7 linked regions of the Cricetulus griseus genome follow. The protein of the gene in region 1 binds, or shares a complex with, the protein of each later gene. Links are inferred from orthologs where the notes say so. Each region holds a gene or a part of one and is shown in the gene's direction. Other genes may lie near its edges.

Region 1 (4,218 bases):
GGGAGGCAGAGGCAAATTGGAGGCCAGCTTGGCCTCAAAAACAAATAACAACAATAAAAAATAATAATATAGAATAAAATAATAATAAATATAATATAAATATTTTGTTAGTAATATGTTAAGATATAATATATAAATATTCTATATATTATTTGCATTATAAACATAAATAATAAATATAATAATAATAACAACAATAATAATAGCATGCAGAGAAGTCTCTTCAGAGCAAGTTTGTGGCCTACCTGGACTCCAAAAGATCTTTTCTCAAAAGCCAAAGAAGGGCTGGAGTGATGGCTTAATGGTTATGAACACTTGGCTGCTCTTTTCAGAGGACCTAGGTTTCAACCCCACCACCCACAAGGCAACTCCTAACCTATCTGTAGCTCCAGTCCCAGGGGATTTAATACCTCCTCCTGGCCTTCTTGGGCTCTGCGCATACATGACACACAAACATACATTCAGACACAGATATACACGTAGCCAAAACACCCATATACATAGAATAAAACGAAAGTAATGATAAACAGATTAAACAATAAAAATTGCCAGCAAGATGGCTCAGTGGATTAAGACACAGGCCTAAGGGTCAGTTGTGCTTATTAAACCTAAAGGGAAAAGTAGAAATAGCTGTTTTGTTTTCAATGTAGAGAATTATTAAAAGATTAGATACCGCCATTTCATAAAATGTATCATTACTGCTTAATACATCTGAATAGTATATCTGAATAGACTTTTCATATATTTCTTTAGTAAATGTAGCGTTTGTGCCACATTGAGAACAAATAATCCGTATCTATAATCCTGACATGGACTGTGACAGATCATTGGGTGCAAATATTTCTTCCTTCACCTTCAGTCAGCTGCCACAGCGATTGACTCTTGAGGAAAAGCGTTGGGGGCAGCAAACATTTCCCCAATTTCTCAATACAGAAGAGAAATCCAGTCAGTTATTAGAAGCATGTTAACTTGCTCCTTCAACTTTCTCATCCTTAATAAACGGAGCTCCTAAGCTTCCGTTTGCCTGCAAGCATGCCTGCCTGCCTGCCTGACGGGACCGCTGGACTGAGAAAGCAAAAGTGTATTACAGAAAGGGACTTTTAACACCACACTAAAAGTGGCTTCGTGACTCTGCGTACGTATAGGTCCTTGGAACCATATTGCGCAGGAGCGTGTTTCCTAGGTCCACGGAATCCCTGACCCGGATGTATTACCTTCTGCAACCGCCACCTAGTGGCGGTGCGTAGTCGCCGGAAAGTATCACTTTTAGCGTACGTCCCGGAAGCGGAAGGGAGTCCGTTGCTTTTCTCTGTCCCGCACGTTTGTCCTGCGTCGTTCCTGCTGGGCCGGCGCGGTTTGTTGAGGCGGTTCGCAGCGTGTGGAGAGTGGAACCCTGAGTTCCCGGAGCATCGGCAGCCATGGCGGATGTGACTGCCCGCAGTCTGCAGTACGAGTACAAGGCGGTGCGTGAAGTCTCGGCGGAGGGCTGCGGGCGAGGGAGGCCGTGGGTAGCCACAAACACGGACGGAATATCTGATCTGGGTGAAGGCTGGATTAAAACACGACGGAATAACTCTAGTGGGGTTTAGGGCGCGTGAGGACTCGGGAGGTTTTTTCCCAGTCTCCTCAAACCGCCCCTTCCTACTCGTTATCCCCAAATCTGCTCAACACTTCACCTAATGTGGGTTATTGTGACTACTGTTAGGAACGTTGATCGTTCACTTTACCAGACAGTCCGGTGCTTGGCGTTTTATTATACTGTTTCTTCTTAAGGGGATTATTCCTTTTTCCCAGTATTTTTCCATCTTCAGGTGTCACTGTGATAACAGGAACCGAAGCTATTTATATATTAAAGTTTTGATTAAGTATGATCTTTTCAGAACTCAAATCTTGTGCTCCAAGCTGACCGCTCACTTATTGACCGGACCCGCCGGGATGAACCGACAGGAGAGGTTCTGTCCCTGGTTGGGAAGTTGGAGGGAACTCGGATGGGAGATAAGGCTCAACGCACCAAACCACAGATGCAGGAGGAAAGACGGGCCAAGTAGGTACCAACGGGGTGTTATATTTTCCTTGTAGTCTAAAGCGCATCTTGAACATTTGAGCAGTAGTTTTGATGAAGTACCTGTGGAAGATCAGCGGTGTTTGCACAAGAGAATGAAAACCTCTTCAAGGTTTAAAGTTTCTTTGGACTTGGGTGCAATGAAATGGAACAAAAATCTATTAGTACTTTTTGTTTCTGATTCATAGGTAGATGCTAATTTTCTTCAAGCTATTTTTTTCTTAAAAATCTGTTTCATTTTTAATCATGTGCATGTGTGTTTTTTTGTGAGTATGTGCACATGCATCCAAATGCCTGTGAAGGCCAGAAGACAGTTTGGAACATAGGAGCTGGAGTTTCAGGCAGTTGTGAGCTACCCAGTTTGGAGGGCTGGGAACTGAACTCTGATCCTCTGCAGAAGCAGTATTGCTTCTAACTACTTGAACCTTCTCCCCAGCCCCGTCACCAACTATTTTCCAGACCCTTGTTAATCTCTTGTCTCAGCAGTTCAGCCCCACTACCACTGTTAAAAGCTTCTTACCCTAACTCCCTCCGGTTGTTGTCCACTTCCTGATGCTTTTGTTTTGTTGTCTCTCCCGTTTTTTCATCTTGATAGATCCATTTCAAAAGTTGCATGTTCTCCTACTGTGCTTTCTTTCTCCTTTTTCTTTCTGTGAAGTCTTAACAGTCCCCAGGCCCTGTTTAGTTTGAGTGGTTATAATTGGGGAGAGTTGTTGAGACTTGAGAGAATTGTTAAATTTGAGAAGAAACATTCCTTGGTCCTTCACTTTTCAGAATCTGGCTTCTTTTCTAGCTGTTTATTGGGAGTCATAGAAGTAGATTCCCCTGGAGCCTAGCCTCTCTGGCTAATAAAAGGTTTTGTTTGTTTGTTTGTTTTTTAAAGTTGAAATACCATTATATTATCTCCTCATGAGGATAAAGAAATAAATACTTCTTCAAATGCTTAAAGTCAAGTGGGAATTACTTATTTTGATTCATGTTCCTGCTTGCACATATTAGATGTATAGAAAAGGTAAACTTCGGGGGTGGGGGGCAGGGGAGGAGGAGAGGGAGAGGGAACTGGGATTGACATGTAAATGAAGCTGGTTTCTAATTTAAAGTTGGTCTAATTGCAATTATAAAAAGAAAAGAAAAGAAAAGAAAAGAAAAGAAAAGAAAAGGTAAACTTGACTTGGGGGCGCAAAGTTCTCCCATTGAGCATCACACCCTGTGTTCATTAGGAGAAGAAAGCGTGATGAGGACCGGCATGACATCAACAAGATGAAAGGTTATACGCTGCTGTCAGAGGGCATTGATGAAATGGTGGGCATCATCTATAAGCCCAAAACTAAGGAGACGCGAGAGACCTATGAGGTGCTGCTCAGCTTTATCCAGGCTGCTCTTGGAGACCAGGTGAGGCTGGAACCAGAGGATGAGGCCTTGTGTTTGGAAAGAGAAAGGGTGATGCACAAGAATTTTGGTTAAATTATTAGTTACAAATATTTATTCTGTTTGTGGAAATCAGGACAACTTTCATCTGTGTGGGACTCAGAGATCAAACCTAAGTTGTTGGCCTTGGTGGAAAGTATAAGTTTGTTTTGCTTCTGAAAAGCATCTACCTAATCCCCCCCCCCCCACTTCTGGGGACTGACTCCAGGATCTCTCATGCTTTGTTTTTGTTTTTGTTTTTGTTTTTGTTTTTTTTTTTTTTGTTTTTTTTTAAGTTTTTCAAGACAGGGGTTCTCTGTGTAGCTTTGGAGGCTGTCCTGGAACTAGCTCTTGTAGACCAGATTGGTCTCTAACTCACAAAGATCTGCCTGCCTCTGCCACCTGCCTCTGTCTTCCGAGTGCTACGCTTAAGGGCATGTGGTACCACTGTGTTAAATCCTCAGCAGCTCCCTATAGTCTTTAATTTTTATCTTTTGGTTTTTCAAAACAGGATTTCTCTGTGTAGCCTTGGCTGTTCTGTAACTCACTCTGTAAACCAGGCTGACCTCAAACTCAGAGATCCTCTTGTCTCTGCCTCCTGAGTGCTGGGATCAAAGCTTATTTTTTAAATTTTATTTTATTTGTTTGTGTGAGACAAGGTCTCATGTAGCTCAAGCTGACCTCAAACTCACTGTGTATTCAAGAATAACCTAGAACTTATGGTCCTGTTGTTTCTCCAAGTGCCAGGA
Region 2 (4,167 bases), on another chromosome or scaffold:
GTGAGTTCCAGGACAGCCAGGGCTGTTACATAGAGAAACCCTGTCTTGAAAAACCAAAATAAAAGAATGTATTTGTAATTGCCCCGACACCTAGTAGGTACACGAGATTTATGGAATGGGGTTTGTGGGGAAAAGCCACCACTGGCTTGAAATTGAGAATGGAGTGGAGTTTCCAAGGATCCCTAGAGGCATTGCTTTATCTATTAAACTTCATAGTGCTATATACATACAATTTATTTGTCCTTCTTCTCACTCACTCTTGTAGAAGACTTTTCTGTACATTGCTTTATATACCCAGCGAGCTGCTAATTAAACGGTGTATGAGGGGTGCTTACCAAACACTGTAAAAATGAATGGTGTTGATTATGATCTCTCCTATTCAGATTGTTTAAGTCCCTCAGACACAAATGAGACAACCGAAGCTAAAGAATTTGCCTGCTGCTTTTTTTTCTTTTTAAGTAGGGACAACCCAGGTCTCATGAAGTCATGAATGCTAGGAAAGCACTCTAGTGCTAAGCAAGGTGGTTAAGCTCTCATTAGTTTTTATTTCCTATTTCGTGTCAGGGTCTTACTAAGTTGTCCATGCTTGGCAACTGTGGCCTCCTTCTGTTTCTTAAGCGCTGGGATTGCTGGCCACTCCTCACAGCAGCTTTTTATCTTTTTCCAAAACACAAGTGTGATAGCATGTTTTCCAAATGTGATGACACCAACATACGGAGTGACATCTAGCAGTTACCTGTAAATCAATAAGTGTTAGTAACTGCAAAAGCCTGCAATAAACTAGACTTCTAAAAGGACAAGAAGAAGCCGGGCATTGGTGGTGCACGCCTTTAATCCCAACATTGGGGAGGCAGAGGCAGGCGGATCTCTGTGAGTTCGAAGCCAGTCTGGTCTCCAGAGCGAGTTCCAGGACAGTCCCCAAAACAATACAGAGAAACCCTGCCTCGAAAAACCAGAATAAAATAAAGTAGCAAAAATTAAAAAAAACCTTTGAATACTCGGTATAGAATATTTTTAAAAGATGCTTCGTAAGGGTTTTCAGTACTCTAGGCTTAAAAGTACAGGATTCCTTAAGAAAATGAGTAGTAGTTGAGACAAACGCAGAACGAGTTGGTGATAGCAAATCCTCATTGATTTTATGGCTCTGAAGAAAGATCCAACCTTTTAGAGGAAAACTAGCCGACTCAGAGATCTCGTATGTTGTAGTCTTCAGGCAGATATAGAGGAGACAAACTGTCAAGTTAGCAAAACTTCGGGGGCACGGGATGGTGGCACCGATATAGTGCGGAACTATTCTATCGAGTCTGTCGGTGATCCATTTGGATACCCCGCGATCGCCAGATCTGCCTCCGATTAGTTCCGTCTGAGCCAGTTGTGGGAAAGGGCGGAAGCGCGCTCTTTTAAAGTCTGCGCCCGTAGCCCTATGCCACTTCCGGCGTGGCCATGGCGGCTAACGCGACCACCAACCCGTCTCAGCTCCTGCCGCTAGGTAAAAGTCTCGCCCGGGGCGCGGGCGGGTTGCTGCGGCCCCACGCCCGCGCCGGAGGCTTGCCCCTGGGGCCGCTGCGGAGACCGAGCCCGTTGTCTGTCGGCGGCCGGCGGGGGCCCCACTTGGTGAAGGACGCCCTCGGCCTTGCTTGTGAGCTCGCCGGTTAAGATGTCCCGGTGCCGGCCCAGCTCGCAGTGTGGCCTTTCCGGTCTACACCTTAGGGAGCCCCTGTATTGCATTTGGCGGTGTGAGGAGGGCGCCACGGTCTACAGTGACTCCTAGAAAGAAATCTGGAGACTAGCTCCGTCATTCGTTCGTTCATTCATTCATTCATCCATCCATCAAGCAGTTCCCTCCCCGTGCCAGGGTACTGTTGAATAACGAATTTAAACTACGGCCATTGCTTTCAGATAGCACACTGAAAGACTTCGTGCCGAGCAGTTCTCGGTTGGCCACGGAGATGCTCAGGTTGGTCTCCAAGCACAGAGCTAAAGGCAAGATGAGAGAAGTGACAGGAAGCTGGTGTCGGTCGTGAGGCCTCTCCTCTGTCATGTTTTGGCGCCGGTGAAGTTAGTCAATGTGGCAATGATGGAAAGTTCTTGCAGGGTCCACTCCAGGGTATGTTCATCGGCAGAAACACTGATGAGGAAAAACTAACATGGTTTCCACCTTGTGGTGTAATTGTTTTTCATACATTAACCAAATAGTCAAAATCACAGTCCCGTTAGTTGCAGCAAAAAAGGAGGTAAGCGAAGGCCAAGACAAACATTTGTGCTAATGGCTGAGCGGAGATTTGTGTAAGATGTAGTTATTTAGTGACTGCTTTTTGTTTCTCTTTAATGATACGGAAATAGTAAAGTGAGCACTCGAATGCTTGTTGAACTAATAAGTGGGTAAAACAATCTTTTTCTTTCCACAGAGCTCGTGGACAAGTGTATAGGATCAAGAATTCACATTGTGATGAAGAGTGATAAAGAAATTGTTGGTACACTTCTAGGATTTGATGACTTTGTCAGTATCCTTTTAAAAAGTGTTCATGGAACAGGTTTTTAAAGATGTATTAATATAAGAGCTGTAGACAGATGACATATTTCTGTTTATTACATTAAAAATTATTTATTTTCCAGGAACTTGGTAACATTTTAAGAGGTGTGCTTGCAGAAAGCAGATAGGGTTCTCTCCAACAACAAACCTTTTGAATTTGCACCATTGTGTTGAACATTTTTGCAACCAAACAAAAACATAAACCAGAATAAATTCAACCTTGTTTATTTTCTTAACAACAAATTTCAGATATGGTGTTGGAAGATGTCACAGAGTTGTGAGTAGTATTAAAAATGACAAATAAATGGGGGAGGAGAGGAGGAAATATCTTTTTGAATTAAAGGCAGGTACCCTAGTTCCTTTTCTGTTACTGTGAAGAGACAGCATGGCCAAGGCAGTTTATAAAAGAGAGCGTTTACTGCGTGGGCTTGCTTACAGTTTCAGAGGGTTAGAGTCCACGTTTTTTCATGGTGAGGTGTGTGGAGGCAGGCAGGCAGGCAGGCAGGTGTGGGGCTGGAGCAATAGCTAAGTGATTCTATGTTGAGATAACCATGAGACAAACAGAGAGCCAACTGGTTATAATTTATTCTTTTGAAACCTCAAAGCCCACCGCCACAGTGACACACCTCAGACAAGGCCACTCCTCCTAGCCATTCCCAAACAGTTCTGTCAACGTGAGCCCGTGGAGGCCATTTTCATTTAAACTACAATAGCAGGATTAGTATGATGGATAAAGTATTACCTGTTGGAATTCTTTTAATGCTGACTTATTTACCGGTATTTGTGAGGTTGGGCCAGAAGATTATTATCTTAATGTCATTATTCCTGAATTTCTAAGAAATTAGTGTAAACACGCTTTATAGTGACTTTACATTTACTTCTATATTATATCTTTGTAATATATCTTTATATTTACTTCTGTATTTATGAAGTTTTATATTTACATAACTATTATCTGGTGGGCAGACTGTATTGCTGAAAATTATTGTAATTGTATGAGTTCACATTCATTCATATGTAAGAATAACAGTTTTGATGCTAGGGATTGAACCTAGGGCCTTGTGCTCTGCCACCCAGGTGGTGCTCTGCCACCGAGCTAACCTCTTTACCCCAGGAATAATTTTTAGAGAGGAAAAGCGTTTCCAAAATAATTGCCTTTGAATACTTGTTTATCCTGACTCCATTTTTTATCTATTTAGTGAAATTACACCAGAAGGAAGAAGGATTACAAAATTAGATCAGATTTTACTAAATGGAAATAATATAACGATGGTAAGACATTAAAGCTGTTTTATTTTGAATTTAATTACTTTTATAGGGCAGGGATTACAGAACACTGCTGCTTAGCTCAGTGTTCACGGTCTAGACATGCTGAGGATGGGAAGGGAGCCTTCAGTGATCAGTGCCCCAACGCAGCTATTGAAAGAGCATTGGGCCTTAAGATTCATTTGCTTATTAATCTTTATTACCTTTAGTTCATCAGGAACCATTGTTGAAACTCTTAAGCATCAATTAATGTTGGGATTACTAGCAGATGTTGATGATCTGGGAAATGGGAATTGAAGGATAGGGGAGAGACAGTGGTGGCTTTGGTCCATGAGGAGCACATGGGGAGTTTTAGGTGGTATGATAGT
Region 3 (4,059 bases), on another chromosome or scaffold:
ATCCTGTCTCCACCCTCCTTGAAGCTGAGATTACAGCTTTTTTAATAATAAGTAGAGGTGGGAATGAAAGGGTCAGGCATTATGCTGGCCTGCCCATTACCTGGTGGAATCCACTCAGGCAATACCCTGGTCAGCCCAAGGTTCCATGGGAAAGAAGTCTGCACGCAGGTGCAGAGGACCCCTTTAAAAGATAGGCCCCTGCACCTTTACGCTCTGTCTGTCTCTCTCTCCCCGTTTCTCTGTTTCCCCGCTCTCTCTCTCTATGGCGACCGGCCATGGCGGTCAGCCATTACCCTGTTCCTCTTCTTAGTCTCCCCATTCTACCGGGCCTTATAATAAACTTATAGTCAATATGTCTGTCTCAATATTTCTCTTTTCTTCTTTTTAAACAAAAGAATAACATGCAGGATACCCAGTTTGTCGCATGGGTGCTGGGATGCCCTGATCCTCCTGAACCATCTGTTCAACGCCAGTTCCAAAAGGATATGGCAAACCATGTAGGTAATCCCAGCATTTGGGACGCTGAGGTAGGAATATCGTTGAGCTCAAAGCCAGCCCTTGATAAGCAGCAAGACTGTCTCAAAAACATTTAAGGTGAAAAAAAAATATTTTAGAAGAGACAAAACTCGAATCAAGGCCTTAAAGGACGTAGCAATCTAACGTCTCCACAACCGAGCCAGAAAGGGTAAAGAGTGGTAGGCAGGAGATGAGGCTAGGTAGTGTGAGGTCTCTACTTTCAGGTCTTCGCTACCAGCGGTGGCAAATAAATGGCATTCGGGCCTTCGTATACACAGCTGGATTTACGTTAAATATGCAAATCCCCCACACACGATTTACAAGCACAAAGGTTGTTTCTTAAACTGCAACTCTGTGGGAAATGAGTTGGAAGCTTGCGACAGAAATGAAATCACATTTCCAGGATCCCGAATGAGCCAGCCTACGTAACATTTTACAACACGGAGGGTGATTCTGAGGGTTCTCCCCTCGTGGGTGCCGCCTCGGGGGCAGGGGACACCCAGTGTGACGGCTCAGCAAATGCTGTCTGCCGGTCACTCATTTGTACTGCACTAGTACAGTCACGCGAGTAGGGAGCCCGCCGCCTTCGGCGAAGATGCCTGCACTCCCTCGCTTCTGCGCCTTCTCCCCTCATCCCCGCCTTCCCTCAGAACCGACCCGCTCTACAACACCAGTGTCCGCCTTCCCGGCGGTCCGCGCCGCGCTTCCGGGGGCGGGGCCCAACCCCGGTCGGTTTCCACGGCCCCTGTGCTTTGGCTGAATTCAGCAAGGCCGGTCCCCGGAAACTGGACTTCTACTTCCGGGTCAGAGCCATGGCGGTGGCAAATTCAAGTCCAGTCAATCCGGTGGTCTTCTTTGATGTCAGCATCGGCGGCCAGGTGAGGTGCGGGAGGCCCGGCGGACCTGCGCGGCTGGGCAGGACACGGGTGAGGGAGGCAGCCGAGACTGGCTGGGCCAGGGCGGCCGAGGTGGGCGCTTCCGAGCTGCGTGGGCTGCGGTCGTGGACTGAGCCTTCTTGCGTCTCCCGTCACTTGCAGGAGGTTGGTCGCATGAAGATCGAGCTGTTTGCAGACGTGGTGCCTAAGACGGCAGAGAACTTCAGGTGAGGAGATGCTCCACTGAATCAGCGTGGCTGAGCCCGAAGCCGGCCTCGGGGCGCTCTTTGCAATGTCTGCCTCTGTCCATCCGTCCACTGCCTTGTGCTCTGTGCTCTGTGTATTATTGCACTGGCCGAATAGCTACCGGGTTTGACCGTTCCTGTGTCAATTTGTGATATTAGTTTACATGGCTGCATGCCCTGACATCCGGCCGACCAGTTAGTGGACTTGCTGGCCCCACTGTTTGTACCCTCATCTCCCGATATTAGAGATGCTCCGGGCAGCGATGGCATGGTAACTGTTCATTGTTTCTTTCCTTTTAGGCAATTCTGCACTGGAGAGTTCAGGTCAGTCTCAGATGTGTTTGACCTCTATTCCTCCTACTCCTGAAGGGTGTCCTGGAGGTTTGGTGAGGGTATTGGGGAACCATGGGCAAGTCTTGAGTGGTGGAAGATGATATTCAGAGGGTGTCTTCTTTATCGATGCGTTCTTTAGCTTGCTTCTATCCAAATCTTTCTGAGAGTCCTTTTAGCCTCCAGTGTGTCCCAAACGGAAAGGACCCATGGTTATTTGTCATCACTCCAAGTCTTTCTTTTTGGTTACAGAAAAGATGGTGTTCCAATAGGATACAAAGGAAGCACCTTCCATAGGTAAGGCTTTTGGCAAACTGTTAATGCAGTCATCACTTGGTATCTGTGCAGGCAATCCTGAACACCTGAGTACACCTATGGTAGATTAGGTTTGTTGTTTAAAGTGTCATGTCCAGGGCTGAGGATGTAGCTTGGTGGTAGAGAATTTTCCCAGCATACCTGAGACCCTGGGTTCAATACTCAGCACCACAGGCACCGTAAGTCATCCTAGATGTAGAAATGATGGCAAGGAAAACACTATCAGTTGGGTGCAGGTGCAGTTCCATAGGCTTCTATACCCAGCTTTTATGTGGGTTCTAGGGATCTGAACTCAGGTCCTCATGCCTCATTAACAAGGACTTTACCCACTGAACCATCCCCCTGGTTCCAGGTAGAGGCTTTGGTAATAATTACTATTATCAGGCAGTCATCTGCAGGAACCTGACCTTCTTGAATGCCTTGCTTTCTGTGTTTACCAATTTTTGTTAGGGTTTGACAGAAGTTGTTCCACTTTAATCCTGAAATTTTTGTGTCATCCATATCAGGGGCTTTAGAATTATGGTCTTTAATCCTTCCCAGCATCCTTGTGAGGTAGTATGTGTAATCTGCCTTCTTTAAGGAAGGAAACTGGGGCTAAGAAAGGACTATGCCTGGGTATATAACAGCTTACATTACCCTGTGTGTGTGTGGCAGTCCATTTCACATATATTTGCTGTTGTTCTTTCTTTCCCCCCAGATTTTCATTAAGCCCTTGACTTTTTTTTTTTTTTTTTTTTTTTTTTTTTTTTGTAAATATGTTATTTCTTCCTGACAGGTTTCAGCCCTTTTCTGTTGTTCAGGTGCTCACTCATATACCTTAGATCAACACAAAGATGCCCCTGGAGCTTAAAACAAGTTATGGTTCGTAATCCCTCATCTTGCTCAACTCCAGGGGTGAAGACTCAGTCTCTAAGCCACGGTGATAAACATTGTACTTCAGAAAAAATTACTAAGCTGCTATGTTGGTGACCAAACCACTGAATCCTTCCCTCGGGAATTTTTTGTTTGTTTTGTTTTTACTCTGTTTCAGGGTCATAAAGGATTTCATGATTCAGGGTGGAGATTTTGTTAATGTAAGTACTGCTGTTTTTTCTTTGCTATTCTTCCTATAGGGCTCCAGTCTTGAGATTTAAGAATAATAGCTAAGTTAAATGGAGAGAGCATGGACTAGGGGATGCACTGTAGAATTGCTGGTACTGCTGACTGTGCCCTTAGAACATATACCAATACTAAACTTGAATCATTAACTCCCATTGTCCAAACCTGAGCTTTTTTGTTACCAAAAATTGGACTTTGCTAGTCTACCTATAGACAGATGATCTAAGACCACATTCTTTGACCACAGAAAACTTTGAAATTAGCTGCAGCCCCCCTCCCCCACAGGAAGTGAGCCAACTGCTTGTATGCCCTATTTTTCCTTCCACTTCTGGTGTCCCTCTCTAAAATTGTAGTTTTTTGTTTGTTTTTGTGGTCTGTCTTTTTTCCTTTTGAAAGCTGAGGGGTTTTTTTGTTTTATTTTGGTTTTTGTTTTGTTTTGTTTTTTGTTTCTCAAGACAAGGTTTTTCTGTGGTTTTGGAGGCTTGCCTGGAACTAACTCTCATAAGACTAGGTTGGTCTCGAACTCAAAAAGATCCGCCTGCCTCTGCTTCCCGAGTGCTGTGATTAAAGGCGTGCGCCACCACCACCTGGCTGATAACCACAAGCCAGTTAGTGGCAAGGGGTCAGGAGAGGCAGGCAATTCAAAGGGTGTTTGCTCTGCTTGCTGAGGTAGCCCAAGG
Region 4 (4,087 bases), on another chromosome or scaffold:
GTGTCAGGATGATGACACTACAGGTGACCAAGAGTGAGCATGCTATCCTTACCCCATGCTAGCCCTATCAGACTCTTAAGCAATTTGAAATCTGCAAAGGAAGTAAGTAGAGCATCAGGTCCATTGGCTTGATTTTACATTCATGGCAGCACCGTAGAGAGAACACTCAGCCACTGATGTTCAAGAGTGATAGCATTTCTCTGCTTAATCATTTGATTCTCCAGTTAAATCTGTTAGGCCCACAGGTCCTTCCCATAATACCTGGTCCCACTTTACCTTTATCATTGGTCAACAGCAAAGGGTACACTATTTGAAGGAAGATAAAAAGATTTTTATTGTTGAGTGAGAATAGCTTGGTTAATGAGGAAGGGATTTCCTAAAAATCTGCATGATTGCTTTCACACATACAAATGCAGCATTCATATTTATATTCATAAGTAATTTGTCATGTTTCCTCAAAGGGGGGAAAAAAATCCTTTTCACCCTTATGAAGAGCCATAGTGACATCTACTGTTCACAAGAGGCAGCTCACGATGTTAGCTAGTGCAGGGACTCCTTCCTTCCTTTTTCCTTTCCTTTCCTTTCCTTTCCTTTCCTTTCCTTTCCTTTCCTTTCCTTTCCTTTCCTTTCCTTTCCTTTCCTTTCCTTTCCTTTCCTTTCCTTTCCTTTCCTTTCCTTTCCTTTCCTTTCCAAGATGTGGCCCTTTAGCCGGGCGTTGGTGGCGCACGCCTTTAATTCCAGCACTAGGAAGGCAGAGGCAGGCGGATCTCTGTGAGTTCGAGGCCAGCCTGGTCTCCAGAGCGACTGCCAGGATAGGCTCCAAAGCTACACAGAGAAACCCTGTCTGGAAAAAAAAAAAAAAAAAAAACCGCAAATACAAACTACATCAAATATTTTTACACAGAACAACATTTTACCTGGGTAAAAGACAAAACTTCAATACTTTAGCATCAGGCGCAATAAAATAAAAAGTTCTCTATCGTTTTTTAAAAACTGCTTAGGATCTCCTTGTTATTAATAAGCATTAAGCTTCCGGGAACAGGTACCGCCCCTAAGCAGGGCTTAAGGCTACCGCGCTCCCTCTGCTCCCGCCCTGCTCCTGCAGGAGCTCCAGCTTCTGCGAGACCCGCCCCTCCGCCTGGAGACTCCGCCCATTCCCGCCTAAGCCCCGCCCAGCTCCTCCCGGCGGAATTTAAGATTGGGCTCTCAGACTCGAAGCTCCACTCAACTCCGCCAAGTCCTGCCCTCGACCTCTAAGACAACGCCCCTCTCCCCTCTCCGCGCGAGGGTGGCCAATGCGCGTGCGCGGGTGGCGTCACATCCGCCGACAGACCCCCAATCTCCGGAAGGAGCTGCAGAATAGTGGCGGCGATTTCTGCGTCCATCATTTGAGTTTCTTCCCTGCTGGAGGAGTGAGCTAACCCGGGGCGACATGGTGGAGGTAAAGTAACGCCTGGGGGTCGTTTATCTCTGGAGCTTTGCTTTGCCCACGAACGTGCAGGGTGAACGTGCTGGGAAAATAGGGAAAGGAGCTTTAGCCAAGGTTGGTGGTCCCGGGATTTCGGGGCGAGAGAAAGGCCAATGACATTTCGAATCCGAGGTTCGGTCGGCGGGAAGCCTGAGAGAACCTTGAAGTCCCTGTGTGTCCCTGGGAGCTGGCGCTGTCCTCGGAGGCGGGCCTTCCGTGGATGGGATGCTGGTCCAAGCTCTTGTCAGTTACTGTTACTTAGGTTCTACTGGAGTAAAGCTTGCCCTTCTTCTCTTTGGTTTTTCGAGACAGGGTTTCTCTGTGTAGCTTTGGAGACTATCCTGGCACTCGCTCTGGAGACCAGGCTGGCCTCGAACTCACAGAGATCCGCCTGCCTCTGCCTCCCGAGTGCTGGGAATAAAGGCGTGAGCCACGAACGCCCGGCTAAAGCTTGCCCTTCTTAATTTTCTGTTTGTTTTTTTTTTGCATATCCCAAGCGTTTCTTAATTTCACCCACTGCATTTCAGCTCCCCTGCAGTCTTCCTAATCTAGCCCAGCATCTTTTGCTGGGACTGATGAATTAGCTTCTAGCTGGTCTAAGGGCTGGTGCTTAGCGAACACACTGAAGGAGTGTGTGGTTCGCTTGTCTAGCATGCGCAAGGCGCTGAATTCTGTCTCCAGTACCACAAGCGTAAATAAAATATGAATTGGTCCTGCTTTTCCTGCTTAAACCTCCTTTCTGGTTCAGTATTACTAAAATAAAAATGTAGGTGGTGACAGCAGTCTGAACCTCACCGGCCCTTGATGCCTCATTTTAGGGAGAGGGATTGGAGATAGGGTTTCTCTGTGTAGCCCTGGCTTACTTGCATTCGTTTTGTAGACCAGCCTGGCCTCAAGCTCACCTGCCTCAGCCTCATGAGTGCTGGGATTAAAGGCATGTGCCACCACTGCCTGTCCTTGAAGCCTCATTTTGTACTACAGCCCCAAATCCCACAGCTTTCACAACTGTGCTGCAGTTCTGGCATTATTTGAACACCTTTGCAGTGGCGTTTTCCCTCAGTTTGCATGGTTCATACCTCTGTTCCGTGTAAGACTGTCTCCCTTTCTGTTTAAATACCACCTCATATAAATCTTTCATAATTATCATTTCTATTTTTTCTGTGACTCATCCCATTACCTGTTTTCATAGAGCCTCCCAAAATGTGGAATTGTTTTCCTTATTTTTGACTGTTATTTCTTGAGCACACTACATGCCAGTTACAGCACGAGCTCAGTAAATGTTGATTAAACAAATTACTATCCTAGGCTTCATTCACTTGCTTTGCCCAAAGCTCCAGCCAGACAGGAGCCTTCTCATCTTTGTTGTTGACTGCTGTACTTTGTTACAGATTTGTGTGGAGTGTACATCCTTCTGTGTATTTAACATAACCATTCTAGTGTGGATAAGAATGTGTGCTTCACTTGCAGTTGGATGTGTGATTTTGGTTGTTTCTTTACAGGAGGTGCAGAAACATTCTGTACACACACTGGTGTTCAGGTCATTGAAGAGGACCCATGACATGTTTGTATCTGATAATGGAAAACCTGTGCCTTTGGATGAAGAGAGGCAAGTTTTTATTCCTTTTTAGTAGTAAAATATTTGAACTTTGAACTTTTAATAGTGGTAGAATAGCGCAGAGAGAAGGTGACCGTTTGTTGTTGTTGTTGTTGTTTTTTTTTTTGAGAGAGAGAGAGAGAGAGAGAGAGAGAGAGAGAGAGAGAGAGAGAGAGAGGGTAACTTTCAAAGGTCTTAAAGTGGTACTGACACTCATAGGATACTTGGGCAAGTGGCTTTTAGTCATAATATCAGTAGAGTTTACTTGTTATTTTTCTATTTTATCTTTTTTTTTTTTTTTAAAGATTTTACTTACTTATTATGTATACAGTCTTCTGCCTACATGCCAGTAGTGGGCACCTTAGATGTGCCCTCTTAGATCACCTTAGATCTGTAATGAGATCACCTTAGATCTCATTACAGATGGTTGTGAGCCACCATATGGTTGCTGGGAATTGAACTCAGGACCTCTGGAAGAACAGTCAGTGCTCTTAACCGCTGAGCCATCTCTCCAGTCCCTTGTTTTATCGTTTACAGTAAAAATACCATTAGCTAGTCATAGAAATGCCCACTGTAATGGTTTTAAGGAGAACAGCCCTAATAGGCTCATGTATTTGAATGCTTGGTCTGTAGTGGGTAGAACTGTTTCAGAAGGGTTAGAAGTATGTCACTGGGGTCGGCTGTGATATTTCAAAAGCCCACACCATTCCCAGTTAGCATGCTCTTGCTCCCCCAACACCCATGCTTGTGAATCAGATAGAAGCTCTTAGCTGTGCTCCAGCAACATGCCTACCTGTCGTCTTATGCACCCCAGTATGATGCTCAAAGACTAACCCTCTTGAATTATGATCCCCAGATTAAATACTTGGTATGTAAATTACCTTGGTTATGGTGTTTTGCCACCGAAGTAGAAAAGTAACTATGTTACCCAGTAATTCAGAGCATTCCTGTTAGGTTATTTTATTTTTAATGAATCACTTTGAGTTTTCAGCTTCTTGCTCTGGAGCCTTGATGAGCTGAAATTG
Region 5 (3,878 bases), on another chromosome or scaffold:
TACCCATGAAATCTTGAACCATCATTTTCTGGAGTATCAGGTCCCTTATGTGAAATGGGCAAAACACAGCAGTATCTCCAAGGTGAAGGAAAGTGGAGGTGATTTGCTCAGTGTGTTTGTTTAGCTAGTGACTTTCACTAAGTAGTAACATCCAGTGAACTGTATGGCTGGTTTGTGGTTCTTATTATTAAGTTAAAAAAAAATTATCCTAACGGTGTCCTGTTTTAGTTTGTGTTCTTAGTGCTAGTTCCTGGACCATGTGAGTTTATTTACTTGGAAATACTAGTGCCTGGGTGTTGCTTGCAACTGCACAATAGTCAGATTTTCAGTAAAGGTTTTCCCTATTATAAAACAAGTGAGAGGTAAGCTCTGTGTTGTGACTGCTTCGGAACGCAGAAGATATTGTACTGCCAGGGGACTAACACTGAGACATAAGTACTTACCTGGCAGCTAAAATGGCTGTAAGCTGATTTGCATGTTTTGTCTTTCTCATTTTCTTTTCAGGGAACACTAAAAGGTTTTGACCAGACTATTAATTTGATTTTGGATGAAAGCCACGAGAGGGTATTCAGCTCTTCACAAGGAGTGGAACAAGTGGTATTAGGATTATACATCGTGAGAGGTGACAATGTGTAAGTAAAATAAGTCATTTTGAGTAAAGTTACTTTTTCACTACGGGTGTGCTTGCATTATGGAAGAGAGATTTCCCCCAACTTATATGTCATCCATGTGTAATAGAATTCATCTGTTTTGCAGCTATAGCTTATCTTATTTTTAATTTATTCTTTTTATGTTGAGGTAACCTCAGGAACCAACTAAAGTTGTCTCTTCACAAAGTAAACATTGACCTACTGAGATTTGAGACTTGGCTTTTGAACATAGTCTTACACATACAGAACAACAGTCTACTGCTGATCTGTGTTCCCCAGCTCTCTTTACTGTTTACATCCTGAGACCAGGCTTACCTAAGTTGCTTAGACTGACTTTGAACTGTAGATCTACCTGTTACTACAGCCTCTGAGTAGCCTAAACCACTATTGTGTTGTGTGTTTCTACTAGGAAAGTGGCATGGATAGGCCCACAAAGGGCCCTGCTTTGTACCAAATTTTTCCTTAAAGAGGCTTCTTGACATTTGGAAAATCTCCTTAAAAAAATCTCCCGTTTGAGCTATTTTAAAAAATTCAGGCTCATTTAGCTGTCACTGTTTTTATTGACTGGATATACTTAATATGTCCCATGAAAAACCTATAGTCTTCTTGAATTCAGGACACTGACAGTCTAGTTTGAGAAAACTTAGACATGGCAATTTGAGAAAAACTGAAACCATTTTGAACAGTGCTATTCAAAATATTCATTTTTCTAATGATGGAAGTCTTGAATGTCAACATTTTCCAGTATTATATCTACTTGCTTTTGTAGTTGTCATATTTGAAAAATGGTTGGTGACCAAGGAACTAAATTTTAAATTTGGTGTTTTTGTTTTTTGTTTTAAATTGAATCTCTTAATGTAACCCAGGCTGACCTGGAACTTGCTATATGGCCCAGACTTCTTTCATTCTCCTTCAGCTTCCCAAGTATTGGGATTATAGGTTCATTCTGCCTTATGTGGCTAAAACTTGAATTTTAATGTCTCTAGAATACTACGAAGAGTCAAAATATTACTACAGACAGCAAGTTTAGGTTTGAAGGGATATGTAAGATGATAGGAGAAGTGATACTTAATTCATTTGGTGATCTGTAAGATTAGTTATTAGTGAATACTGGAAGTTTATCTTAAAATGAATATGTGCTTTATTCACTTAATTTTATCTGAAATCTGTATTTTGTAAGTAAGTTGATTGATCCTTATCAAAATGTTCTCTGGAGATGACTTGGGTGAAATTGTGGCGTGAGTTGTAAAGCGTGAGCCTGAGCAGAAGGGCCCTTATCCCCGAGCAGCAGAGCAGAACACTGCAGTGCGAGTGTATGGGCTGGATGATTTGTGTTGCCTACATCTGTGTTACAAAGAAACCAAACTGAACATTTACCACAAACATACTGAGGCTAGAGCCTGCTTTTAAGAGCTCAGGAAAACAGACTTTTGTTTGACTTTGAGTGCAGCAGACCAGCCACTAGTTTTCCAAAGATCTGATGTTCAAACACTTGCAGTATCTCTTTATTGTTTGTTCTTTTAACACTACCTGAGTGTTAGGACTTCATTCAGTGAGTCATGAAATGGCTTTTGTTTCCCACCTCGTGTAGTCACTGCATCTTCCCAGTTCCTCACATTTGGAAGAGTGAAATGATGCTGTAGTTAATGGGGTTTTAGAAATGTATGGGAGTTCACTTCAGCATGTGTTTAACTCTGTCTTTCCCTCATACTGATAATAGAGCAGTCATTGGAGAAATTGATGAAGAGACAGACTCTGCACTGGACTTGGGGAACATCCGAGCCGAACCTCTGAACTCCGTAGCACACTGAAGACACAGTGTGTGGTTAGATGTCTGTAAATCCTGTACAGAAACTGCGTCTTCTGAAGATGACGTTTAGATTTTTTTATGAGTGTGTAATTGTGGATTTTGACTTTGTGTTGGTACATTGTAATATGTAAATTTAAATATTTCTACATTTTTATTGGGAAACATTGCCTAAATTAATAAATGCAGTTGCCTGATTTATTTTTCTACTAAATGATAGATCATTTTGAAAACTTAGAAAATACCATTACTTTTGGTAATTTAATATTTATGGAAAATTGGCTGTAAAGAGAACTTAGGTTATTATAGTAACTTATGCATGCAAGTAATAGTAATAAGAGACACGTTTCTTTCTGTGTTGAGCTGTAGATGTTTATCCCACTGCCCTAGAGTTCTACATTGGTTGAAAAATTGCTCTTTGTCTAAGAGATGTGAATTAAAAATTGGTTGAATAGTGAAAAACTTGCACATTAAAATTGCAACAAAAATTAATAGGAAAGTAAGAGTGACTAGGAAGATGTGGATAAATCTTCAGATGCTCAGGAAGGTCACAGAATTCAGTATCTAAAACCAATTCCATGTATGTTAAATGCCGTTGGACTGCTGAAACCTACAAAGAGAAATGGGGAGTGTCAGCCATTGAACGAGCTTTTGTTCAGGGTGGGTGTTGACTTAAATGCAGAGCTGTGCTTTGCTGTCTCACTCCTTCACGTGCTCCATGAAGCTGCTTTGGTAACCTTGACTTTTCAAAGAATTCATGGAAGTGGTGATGGAGATCATATTTATATATGTTAAGCATTCCCAGAACTCATCTGTTTCCTGTGTGGGCCAAAATGGTTATCTTTGGATAGACGAGAAAAAATGTGTACATTCTTGTAATTGAAATAAAACTCATCTTTTTAGTGTTTTCCATTTTTTTAAGTGAAAGTGCAAACATTTCTGTAAAGATGCAAATAGTAAAACTTTGAGGCTTCAAAGGCCATGTGGTCTCTAACAGTTGCGGTCCTCTCTGGTTACATCGTAAGCAGCAGTAGGTAACCCGTAAGTGCAGTCTTGGTTGTCTTCCCGATAGAACATCATTTTCAATGCAGGCAGGCTGTATTTGCCCAAATGGCATAATTTTATGACTTGGCTTAAGATATTTTTAGAAGGAAAGGATAATGGACAGTTCCTGTAAGTTCTGGAATGCCCCCCCCCCCCCAGAGTTCAGACATGAGCTAACACTCAGATTCGATATAATCATTTTGGTTAATTAAAAGAAAAACAACTTTTGTGAGGAGAGGTTGGAAAGAGCCATCATGCCTAGCCTGTACTGTAAACTTTTATAGTCAGTAACAAGATGAATGTGATGAGAATGGGTAGCGGAGTGTAGGGACCATGAGCCAGAGACACTTAATACACAGTACTTTAAATTTTGAAAC
Region 6 (3,985 bases), on another chromosome or scaffold:
CTTGGGTGTGCACTGCTGTGCCCACCACTGTGGTGCCAGAGATGTTAATGCACACCAGGCATGCCATCAACTGAGCCAAATCCTCAGCTTCCAGTTTGATTTACAAAGCAGCCTGTTTTAGGGACAGGGCATAGCACTTTTCTTCTCTGCAGACAGTTATTTGATTTAAATGTGACTTTACTTGTGTTCTTAATTTTATATTTTACATTTCAAGAGCCTAAAATGCTGTCTTATCAATGTCTGTAGTTGACGGTCTTCGAGTCAGCTGAGGTTTTACAGAGGATAGAAAGATATGGCTGTTCCTTACCAAATCTCAGCCAGTTCTCTGTCTGTGGCACCAGTCACTGGTCTGTTTCTTTCGCCATTCACTAAGAGGCTCTTAGGAAAGGAGGAACCACTTTCTGTCTCAGGAAAAAGTTCTGCATTGTAGGACCTGTAAGATCTAACAGGGTGTGTAGCTGTTGTTTGAAGGTCTTATAACTGTGTTGATGATTAAACATCAGAAACAATTAAAATATAAATCTTAAATACAATATAAAAGAGAAATTAAAATATAAATGTAAAATATAAATGAGAGCATGGGTGTAGAAAAAAAGGAATCAAGTCTTCCTGTAATCTCTTCCTTCCATAAACAGTCAGCATACACTAAGAATTCATGCATTATCCCCAACCAAGTTCCCCCACAGCACTTAAATGGTATCTGCATGCTGTTTCCAATTAAACTAATTTGTAATGTCTTTTTACAATTGGCGCCATTGTAATAGAGTTGCTTTAAATTATTTATATTTTTGTAGCAAAATTGCTATGGAAACAATCTCTAACAGTAACTTAAACTTCATACATTTAATTAATATTCAGAAGTCGGTTGGGAGCTTGAGGCTTTTAACTTTTATTTGCTTTAAATTATTTAAGGCTATTTGGGGTACTTAATAGCCTATTATTTTAATCGTAAGTTTCTGTTTCCTGTCATTTTTAAGGTATTCTTTACTGTATTGGAATCTCAAAAGATTACTTCTAAATTTTTTTTCTTGGTTGTTTTGCTTTTGATTCGATTTTCTGGCAAAAAAAAAAAAAAAAAGACGGCAACATCAGAACACCGGCATTTACTTCAGCCCCTGGATGCTGAATTCACCACTGAAGAAACCAATTCTTGGAAGTGAGCGTTATGGAACGGCCTGATCCTTTTGGTCCCCGCGGGCTGCCGTAGGCAAGGAGGCCGCTGATTGGGTGAGGCAGCGAAGCGCGCTGCCGGGGGCGGTTTCGGTTTTCGCCGCGCGCGTCCGCGGAGGCCCGGCCTGTGAGGGCTCCGGATCCGGCTGCGAGGTGAGCCCGCGCGCGGCCCGGGAGGGAGGGGCGGTGGGGCGGGTGGGTGCTTGGAGCGGAGCGGTCGGCCTAGGCCGCGGAGGGCCGGGGCGGGCGGGGTTGCGGCTGGAGCCCAGGCCGGCCTGCGAGCAGCGGAAGGCCGTCAGGGCCACGCGGCCTCGCGCTCCCGCGCCGTGCGGTCCTGCCGTGCGCGCGCCGGGCGCCGGCTGTGTCAGCCCGGGTTAGGCGGCCGCCGCTCCCGCGCCCCCCTCCTCCGTGCGCGCTCGAGTCCCTCCACACGAGGACACGAGGAGCCGGGGAAAGGATCCCTGCTGGGCGCTTCCGTCTGCCCACTCCTCTCCTCCTGTGTGTGCCTGCTTCTCTTTCCGCTAGTACTACCAGAAATACTCGGTCTTCTGTCTACGTTAAACACATGCAGCCAGGTGTAACTTTAACATTCATTGCTTTTGTTTTGTCATTGCCTGGGTCCCATAAGTGACTCCGGTGTTTCCCCGATGGCTTCATCTTAGCGTCCATGCGATCCTGGGATGCACTTCCCGCCCTTGACTCTATTTCTCACCATCTCCTTGGACAAGTTCTCAGAGGAGAAGTCATTGGGTTAGATAGTTCTTGCACGTTGCCGGGTTGGTTCTCTTTAAAGTGTTAGTAAATTACCTCGTTCGTGTGTGACACCGGTTCTTTCACCAAATCCGTGAACACGCCTCCTGTGTTTCTAACAGTAGCAGAGTACAGCCTCTCTTTGGAATCGTTACTGATCTCGTTTAAACTTGCACGGAGTTTCTCAGTCTGGCCTTGAACTTTGGATCTTCCAGCAGTTGTGGTTCCGGGGTTACTTCAGGCATTGTTATTTTTTATTGTAATGCCTGTCGTTCTGCCATCAAGGTTTTCCTGCCGAATCTTCGTAGGAGGGGCAGGGAGAGAGAGAGAGCTGGTATTAACTGTGTGTGTTGGTATTACTGCACAACTTAACCACGTGCTTACTGGTATTCTCTCTCTCTCTCTCTCTCTCCCTCCCTCCCTCCCTCCTCCCTCCCTTCCTGTCTCTCCCCTCCTCCTCCCCCGTGTGTGTGTGTGTGTGTGTGTTGTGTGTGTGTGTGTGTGTTGTGTGTGTGTGTGTGTGTGTGTGTGTGTGTGTGTGTGTGTGTGTGCGGTGTGTGTTGGTATTAACTGTGTGTGTGTTGGTATTACTGCACAAGTTAACCAGATGCTGGAACAGAAAGACATAGTCAGTAACCATCTAGCATAACTCCCTTATTTTTCAGATGAGCCTGGGGCCATGAGAGGTGAGATGGGTAGCAGAGGAGATTAGAATACAGGTTACCTGCCTCCCAAGTGAGTACCCTTAACTACTGCATCAGGTCTTCTCTCACTGAAGGGTGGCCTAATAGAATTTTTTTTATTTGATTTTTTTTTTAATTCCCTGGCTTGCTTTCTCCTTTTATAATGAAGGACTGGAAAATAGAAAAGTCACTTTTTTTGTGTGTCCAGAACTAGAAATTTATTAGAATGCCAACCCATTCAAGATTTTAATGGTTGTTTTCAGGTTCTCAGTGTTGGGATAAAATACTCCTGATAAGTAAGACAGTTGTCCCTCAGTATCTGAGAGGGACTGGGTACAGAGCTCCCAATATTAAAAAGTGCATGGATATTCAAAGTTCCATATGTGTGTTTGCATATAACCTATGCAGTCTTCCTATGTTGTTCACATCATCTCTAGATCACTCACAATGTGTAATAGGATGTAAATGGTTGCAATGGAATATTGCTTAGGGAGTAATGACAAGGGAAAAGCCCTTTAGCTCTGTAACAGGTAAAACCATTGGAGCTGTAATTGCAACTTCATGTTACTAGATGTTGGCTGGATACACAGATAAGGAGAGGTGACTAGTTTATGTACTCATCATCTGGTTCTCATTTACATCTTGATTATTCTAAAGTACCTTGCTTGTTGTTTAAACCAGAAAATAAGGTTTGAAGAGGAGGGGAGGAGGTGGTAGTGGCAGTCATTCTGTGAGTTGACACGTTGCATCATATAGTCCTTTGTTGTAAAGGACTAGACTCTACACCAGTGGTTCGCAGCCTGTGGGCCGAGTCCATGAAAGACCCTTTCATGGAGATCACATAGCAGATATTTACATATGATTCATAACAGTAGCAAAATTACATTTATGAAGTAGCAATGAAAATAATTTTATGGTTGGGGTCACCACACATGAGGAATTATATTAAAGGGTTGCAGCATTAGGAGGGTTGAGAACCACTGCTCTACACTGTAGACTGTTGAGGGATGTCCTTGGCTTCTCTTCACTAGAGTCTGATTCCCGCTTTGACAATACATAATGTCTGTAGACATTTCCAAATGTTCCTAGAGGGTGGGGCACAAAAATCACCTTTGGTTGAGAACAACTTGCTCTTAGGAATTACCGTAGGCAACTTGATGTCAAAGTGCTTATGGTCAAGCCTGGCAACCCGAACTCAATTGCTGAACCCCACTTAGTGTAAAGAGAGAACAGACTCCCAAAAGTTATCCTGTGGCATATGCTTATTGCCCCTGCCCCACTAAATAAAACAAATGAATAAAAGCAATAAAAACAAAAAGCAAAGGACAGCCTTTTGGCTGAGTTAGCTACAGCAATCTGTGTCTGAACAGGCATCTTTGTAG
Region 7 (4,094 bases), on another chromosome or scaffold:
CACCACCACCCCCTAAAAAAAAGAATAGCCTTGGTGGACATCACCTGCCCAAAGACGGAGGCTTCCAGACAGGCCAGTGGCCTGGTAAAAATGAGGCAGAGAGAGCTGAGGACTGCTGGCAGGGTGGGGAGCCCTGACACACTTTCAAAAGCTCATGCCCAGCCAAGAGCGGGATGTGGGGACAAAAACGTCAAAGGGGGATGTGGGCCACATGGTGGAGAGGCTAGGAACGCCACGCCTGGGTAATGTCTTAACTTCTTAGCCAATCAAGGAAGAGCATGCCAGTTGTGCCAGTGTTGGGAAGGCTGAGGCTCAGTTACAAGTTCAATGCTAGCCTGGGCTATAAAAGGAGATCCTGTCTCAAGATTTTGTAATCTTGAAAAAAAAAAAAAAGTATTTGAAAGAACGATCCAGACCCAGGGTCCATGAGAGAAGATGAATATATAGAATAACGTGCACAGGCCACCCTGTGGGCCATCCGCATTAGAACCCAGCAACTGCCCCGTGTGCCCGAGGCTGCAGCCCTTCACGAACCATTGGGACTGGAGCCTGATGCCACAGAAACAAACAAGAAATCTAACAACTAAGCCAAGTGTTGTGACGCAGGCCTGGCATCCCAGCACTTGGGAGACTAACAGGGTGTTCAGGGCCAGCCTGGGCAACATGGCAAAGTCAAGAGACCATCCTGGGCTGCAGCGCTTGTGGGAGGCCAGCGCGCATTACAGAATGAGTTCAAGGCCAGCATGCGACTGTGTCTCAGCAAGCGACGCTCACCAAACGTCCTGCCTCGGCACCGGGTCGGGGCGCATCCCGCGGCACCCGGAGGCCCCCACGGGTCCCCCGCGTGTTGCATTGACTGACCCAGAGGTGAGGAACCCCTCCTGCCCAAGGTCACGGAGCAGAAGCCGGGATGCAGGGCTGCAGGCACCCGGGGACCCTCCCGAGCCCCTGGGGGAGGAGGACGGGGACTCGCCCCATTCTGCAGAAGAGGAAACTGAGGCTGGCAGGGGCGGCGGCGGCAGTTGGGGCCCCGGGGCGCAGGGCGGGCTAAGCCCGGCCCGAAGTCTGCGGTGGCGACAGCGAGGGGACGACAGCAAGGTCTCGGCCACGGTCACGAGTGGTGCAGCCGAGCCGACCAGCCGTGGCGCTCACCTGGGCCGCGAGCAGCAGCAGCAGGGCCGCGGCGAGCCGCGCCGCCGCCATGTCCGCCTGTCCTGCCGCAGCTCTAGGCGGAAGGTTTCCCGGCAACGCCTTCGGGACCCCGAGACGCGCACGCGCCGGCCCTGCGCGTGCGCGGGCCCGCCCCTCGCTAGAAGTGGGCGGTGCGGAGCCTGCGCAGAGCAGCGCAGGTCGGCAAGATGGCGGTGAGCATTGCTGGGTCGCGGAGAGAGCGGGGTTCCCCCCGAGGGACTGTAGACGCGAAAACTGGGGGCACAGGAGGACCAAAGAGAGGGGGGCGGACACCCGAAGACGGATAGGGAGACAGGGACGCGGAGGAATAGGAATCACGTGGGACTGCACACCGGGCGTCTTGAGGAAGCAGACCGGGAACCTGGGGAAGCAGACCCGGAACCTGGGGAAGCAGACCCGGAACCTGGGGAAGCAGACCCGGAACCTGGGGAAGCAGGCGGGGAACCTGGGGGTGCAGACCCGGAACCTGGGGGTGCAGACCGAGGAACCTGGGGGTGCAGACCGGGGAACCTGGGGGTGCAGACCGGGAACCTGGGGGTGCAGACCGGGGAACCTGGGGGTGCAGACCGGGGAACCTGGAGGGTGCAGACCGGGGAACCTGGGGGTGCAGACCGGGGAACCTGGGGGTGCAGACCGGGGAACCTGGGGGTGCAGACCGGGGAACCTGGGGGTGCAGACCGGGGAACCTGGGGGTGCAGACCGGGGAACCTGGGGGTGCAGACCGGAGGGGGAACCTGGGGGTGCAGACCGGGAACCTGGGGGTGCAGACCCCTGGGGGTGCAACCTGGGGGTGCAGACCGGGAACCTGGGGGTGCAGGCAGGGGACATGAGGATATACACAGGGGGCATGGGAATAGAGAGAGATGCAGACTCAGCGACCTGGAATTTAGTTGGGGGAACATGGGAGATGGAAATGAGTTTGCAGACAGTTATGAGGGCTGCAGGATGGTCAAAAGGAGTCGCTGGGTGCCGGGTCCAGGCAACAAGGATATGGGAAGACTGGGTCTCACTCCTCAGCTCCTCCACTCTCCAGCAGGACAAAGAGAAAAAGAAGAAAGAAAGCATCTTGGACCTATCTAAGTACATTGACAAGACCATCCGAGTGAAGTTCCAGGGTGGCCGGGAAGGTGAGTGGATGCAACAGGGCCCCTAAGAATCGGGGTTGCGACAAGCAAGGGAAAGCCTCACAAGGCAGGCATTTTAACTCTTAACAAAGGCTAAGCTTGGGCCATCCTGTTACTTGAGAGGTACCAGTATGTCTCAATTGTGGATGGGGAAAATGAGTCCCAGGGAAAGAAAGCCAGGTGCGGTAGCACCCACACCATTATTGCTGGAGCCTGAAGGAAGAGGCCAGAAAGCTGGGAGGACATAGAAGAAGGAGGCAACAGGGGGATGGAAGGAAGGCATCCCTTCAAGAGCCTGGAGGTAGCAGGGACCCAGGAGGTTTCCAGTAGCAGGATCAGGGAAAGTTCCAGCCAGTCTGAGCTATGTGGCAAGACCTGTCTCCAAAAATCAACCAGGGCTAGGCTATAGCTTGGTGGATAGAGGGTTGGTTTAGTGTGCATAAAGCCCTGGATTTTATCTCCAACACCATGGAAACCAGGTGTGGTTGTACAAGCCTGCTATTCCAACCCTAGGAAGGTAAACACAGAATCGGGAAGTTCAAGATTATTTTCAGGTTGCCTAGTGAGTCTGAGGCCAGCCTGGGCAAATGATACTCTCTCATACAAATGGGAGGGGAAAAAAGGCTATTTTGTGTTACATGGAAACTATACAGAATTCAGTTTGGGGGATGATAACATTTTATTGACACTTGGTCCACCATGAACTCACTATCTATGGCCCCTTCCACACTTGTAGGAAGAGAGTTGGGGGTCATAGTCAGCAGGCCACCACATAGGGACATGTCTCCCCATGAGTTCTGTAGTGATAACTGTCCCCATGCCTGGGTCTGTAGTGGGAGGACAATAACATCATCCTTACCCATCTCTCCCTTCAAGCCAGCGGGATCCTGAAAGGGTTTGACCCACTGCTCAACCTGGTGCTGGATGGAACCATTGAGTACATGAGAGGTGAGCTGGCTGTGGTTGTCCAGGGATGCCACCAGGCCCTGTTTCTTCTCCACACCTGTGCAGTCACATTGCCGCAGGTGGTGCTGACCTAGGGTGCAGGTCCCTCCCTGATCACCAGAAAGGTGACAGGCCCACCATGATGGCCCCAGGCTTGAGATTTCAGCTCCTTCCCCTCAGCCCTCCTGGGGATGGCAGAAATAGTAGCTACTGTCCTCTGTCTGGATTGTTTGCCTGTGTCACCAGCTCCAGGACGCATAGGATCTCAGCTTATTCCAGAATAGTACCTGTAATGCCCAAAGAGTGTCCCTTCCTCTGCACCCACAACAATTACTTTCTAATTGCTCCCTGTCTCCACCTCTGGTCCATCCTCCCCGGGGCCTCTGCTTCCCCTGCAGACCACTCCTTGGGGTGAGTATCTGCCCTGGGTTCTTGTAGTATCCATGCCTACAGTCGGCTCTGAGACCCCAGGGCCTGGGTGTGTCAGTCCCCAAAAGAAAGATGGGACAGCCCTCTGAGGTCCTGGTTGTGGAGTGCTGGGTGGAAAGGACATGTCTTCAGTTCCTCTTGCCTGTCACCCCCTATTCCCACCAGACCCTGATGACCAGTACAAGCTGACAGAAGACACACGGCAGCTGGGGCTTGTGGTGTGCCGAGGCACCTCAGTGGTGCTCATCTGCCCACAGGATGGCATGGAGGCTATCCCCAACCCCTTCGTGCAGCAGCAGGATGCCTAGGTGGAGAGCGATCTGGCCCCAAGGACCTTCCTTCCTGTGTGAACTTTGTTTGGTGTTTTACTTTTGGATTTTGTTTCTGGTTTTTTATTTTGTTTTT

What was found.
Region 2: Snrnp200 (region 1) and Lsm5 share a complex: the UniProt entries of both Homo sapiens proteins name them as parts of the U4/U6-U5 tri-snRNP complex. The link is inferred for Cricetulus griseus from reciprocal best matches to the Homo sapiens genes SNRNP200 and LSM5.
Region 3: Snrnp200 (region 1) and Ppih share a complex: the UniProt entries of both Homo sapiens proteins name them as parts of the U4/U6-U5 tri-snRNP complex. The link is inferred for Cricetulus griseus from reciprocal best matches to the Homo sapiens genes SNRNP200 and PPIH.
Region 4: Snrnp200 (region 1) and Plrg1 share a complex: the UniProt entries of both Homo sapiens proteins name them as parts of the minor spliceosome. The link is inferred for Cricetulus griseus from reciprocal best matches to the Homo sapiens genes SNRNP200 and PLRG1.
Region 5: Snrnp200 (region 1) and Lsm8 share a complex: the UniProt entries of both Homo sapiens proteins name them as parts of the U4/U6-U5 tri-snRNP complex. The link is inferred for Cricetulus griseus from reciprocal best matches to the Homo sapiens genes SNRNP200 and LSM8.
Region 6: Snrnp200 (region 1) and Lsm6 share a complex: the UniProt entries of both Homo sapiens proteins name them as parts of the U4/U6-U5 tri-snRNP complex. The link is inferred for Cricetulus griseus from reciprocal best matches to the Homo sapiens genes SNRNP200 and LSM6.
Region 7: Snrnp200 (region 1) and Lsm7 share a complex: the UniProt entries of both Homo sapiens proteins name them as parts of the U4/U6-U5 tri-snRNP complex. The link is inferred for Cricetulus griseus from reciprocal best matches to the Homo sapiens genes SNRNP200 and LSM7.

The regions. Positions count from the first base shown.
Region 1 is NC_048599.1:51,367,703-51,371,920, reverse strand, and holds the start of Snrnp200 (U5 small nuclear ribonucleoprotein 200 kDa helicase), read left to right. Parts: upstream 1-1,418; coding exon 1,419-1,463; intron 1,464-1,880; coding exon 1,881-2,044; intron 2,045-3,282; coding exon 3,283-3,454; intron 3,455-4,218. UniProt on the Homo sapiens protein: Catalyzes the ATP-dependent unwinding of U4/U6 RNA duplices, an essential step in the assembly of a catalytically active spliceosome. Plays a role in pre-mRNA splicing as a core component of precatalytic, catalytic and postcatalytic spliceosomal complexes.
Region 2 is NC_048601.1:84,604,422-84,608,588, forward strand, and holds the start of Lsm5 (U6 snRNA-associated Sm-like protein LSm5), read left to right. Parts: upstream 1-1,367; 5' UTR 1,368-1,443; coding exon 1,444-1,489; intron 1,490-2,408; coding exon 2,409-2,504; intron 2,505-2,782; coding exon 2,783-2,810; intron 2,811-3,732; coding exon 3,733-3,805; intron 3,806-4,167. UniProt on the Homo sapiens protein: Plays a role in pre-mRNA splicing as component of the U4/U6-U5 tri-snRNP complex that is involved in spliceosome assembly, and as component of the precatalytic spliceosome (spliceosome B complex).
Region 3 is NC_048595.1:32,848,409-32,852,467, forward strand, and holds the start of Ppih (peptidyl-prolyl cis-trans isomerase H), read left to right. Parts: upstream 1-1,259; 5' UTR 1,260-1,328; coding exon 1,329-1,394; intron 1,395-1,553; coding exon 1,554-1,618; intron 1,619-1,936; coding exon 1,937-1,960; intron 1,961-2,218; coding exon 2,219-2,263; intron 2,264-3,311; coding exon 3,312-3,354; intron 3,355-4,059. UniProt on the Homo sapiens protein: PPIase that catalyzes the cis-trans isomerization of proline imidic peptide bonds in oligopeptides and may therefore assist protein folding. Participates in pre-mRNA splicing.
Region 4 is NW_023276806.1:71,283,989-71,288,075, reverse strand, and holds the start of Plrg1 (pleiotropic regulator 1), read left to right. Parts: upstream 1-1,287; 5' UTR 1,288-1,432; coding exon 1,433-1,441; intron 1,442-2,967; coding exon 2,968-3,074; intron 3,075-4,087. UniProt on the Homo sapiens protein: Involved in pre-mRNA splicing as component of the spliceosome. Component of the PRP19-CDC5L complex that forms an integral part of the spliceosome and is required for activating pre-mRNA splicing.
Region 5 is NW_023276806.1:207,800,356-207,804,233, reverse strand, and holds the end of Lsm8 (LSM8 homolog, U6 small nuclear RNA associated), read left to right. Parts: intron 1-504; coding exon 505-632; intron 633-2,370; coding exon 2,371-2,461; 3' UTR 2,462-3,378; downstream 3,379-3,878. UniProt on the Homo sapiens protein: Plays a role in pre-mRNA splicing as component of the U4/U6-U5 tri-snRNP complex that is involved in spliceosome assembly, and as component of the precatalytic spliceosome (spliceosome B complex).
Region 6 is NC_048596.1:154,693,812-154,697,796, reverse strand, and holds the start of Lsm6 (U6 snRNA-associated Sm-like protein LSm6), read left to right. Parts: upstream 1-1,185; 5' UTR 1,186-1,323; intron 1,324-1,726; exon of another isoform or gene 1,727-1,745; intron 1,746-2,585; exon of another isoform or gene 2,586-2,655; intron 2,656-3,985. UniProt on the Homo sapiens protein: Plays a role in pre-mRNA splicing as component of the U4/U6-U5 tri-snRNP complex that is involved in spliceosome assembly, and as component of the precatalytic spliceosome (spliceosome B complex).
Region 7 is NC_048598.1:101,634,295-101,638,388, reverse strand, and holds the start of Lsm7 (U6 snRNA-associated Sm-like protein LSm7), read left to right. Parts: upstream 1-1,294; 5' UTR 1,295-1,358; coding exon 1,359-1,364; intron 1,365-2,224; coding exon 2,225-2,318; intron 2,319-3,191; coding exon 3,192-3,263; intron 3,264-3,854; coding exon 3,855-3,997; 3' UTR 3,998-4,094. Other genes in the region: Sppl2b (signal peptide peptidase-like 2B), read right to left, coding at 1,153-1,203. UniProt on the Homo sapiens protein: Plays a role in pre-mRNA splicing as component of the U4/U6-U5 tri-snRNP complex that is involved in spliceosome assembly, and as component of the precatalytic spliceosome (spliceosome B complex).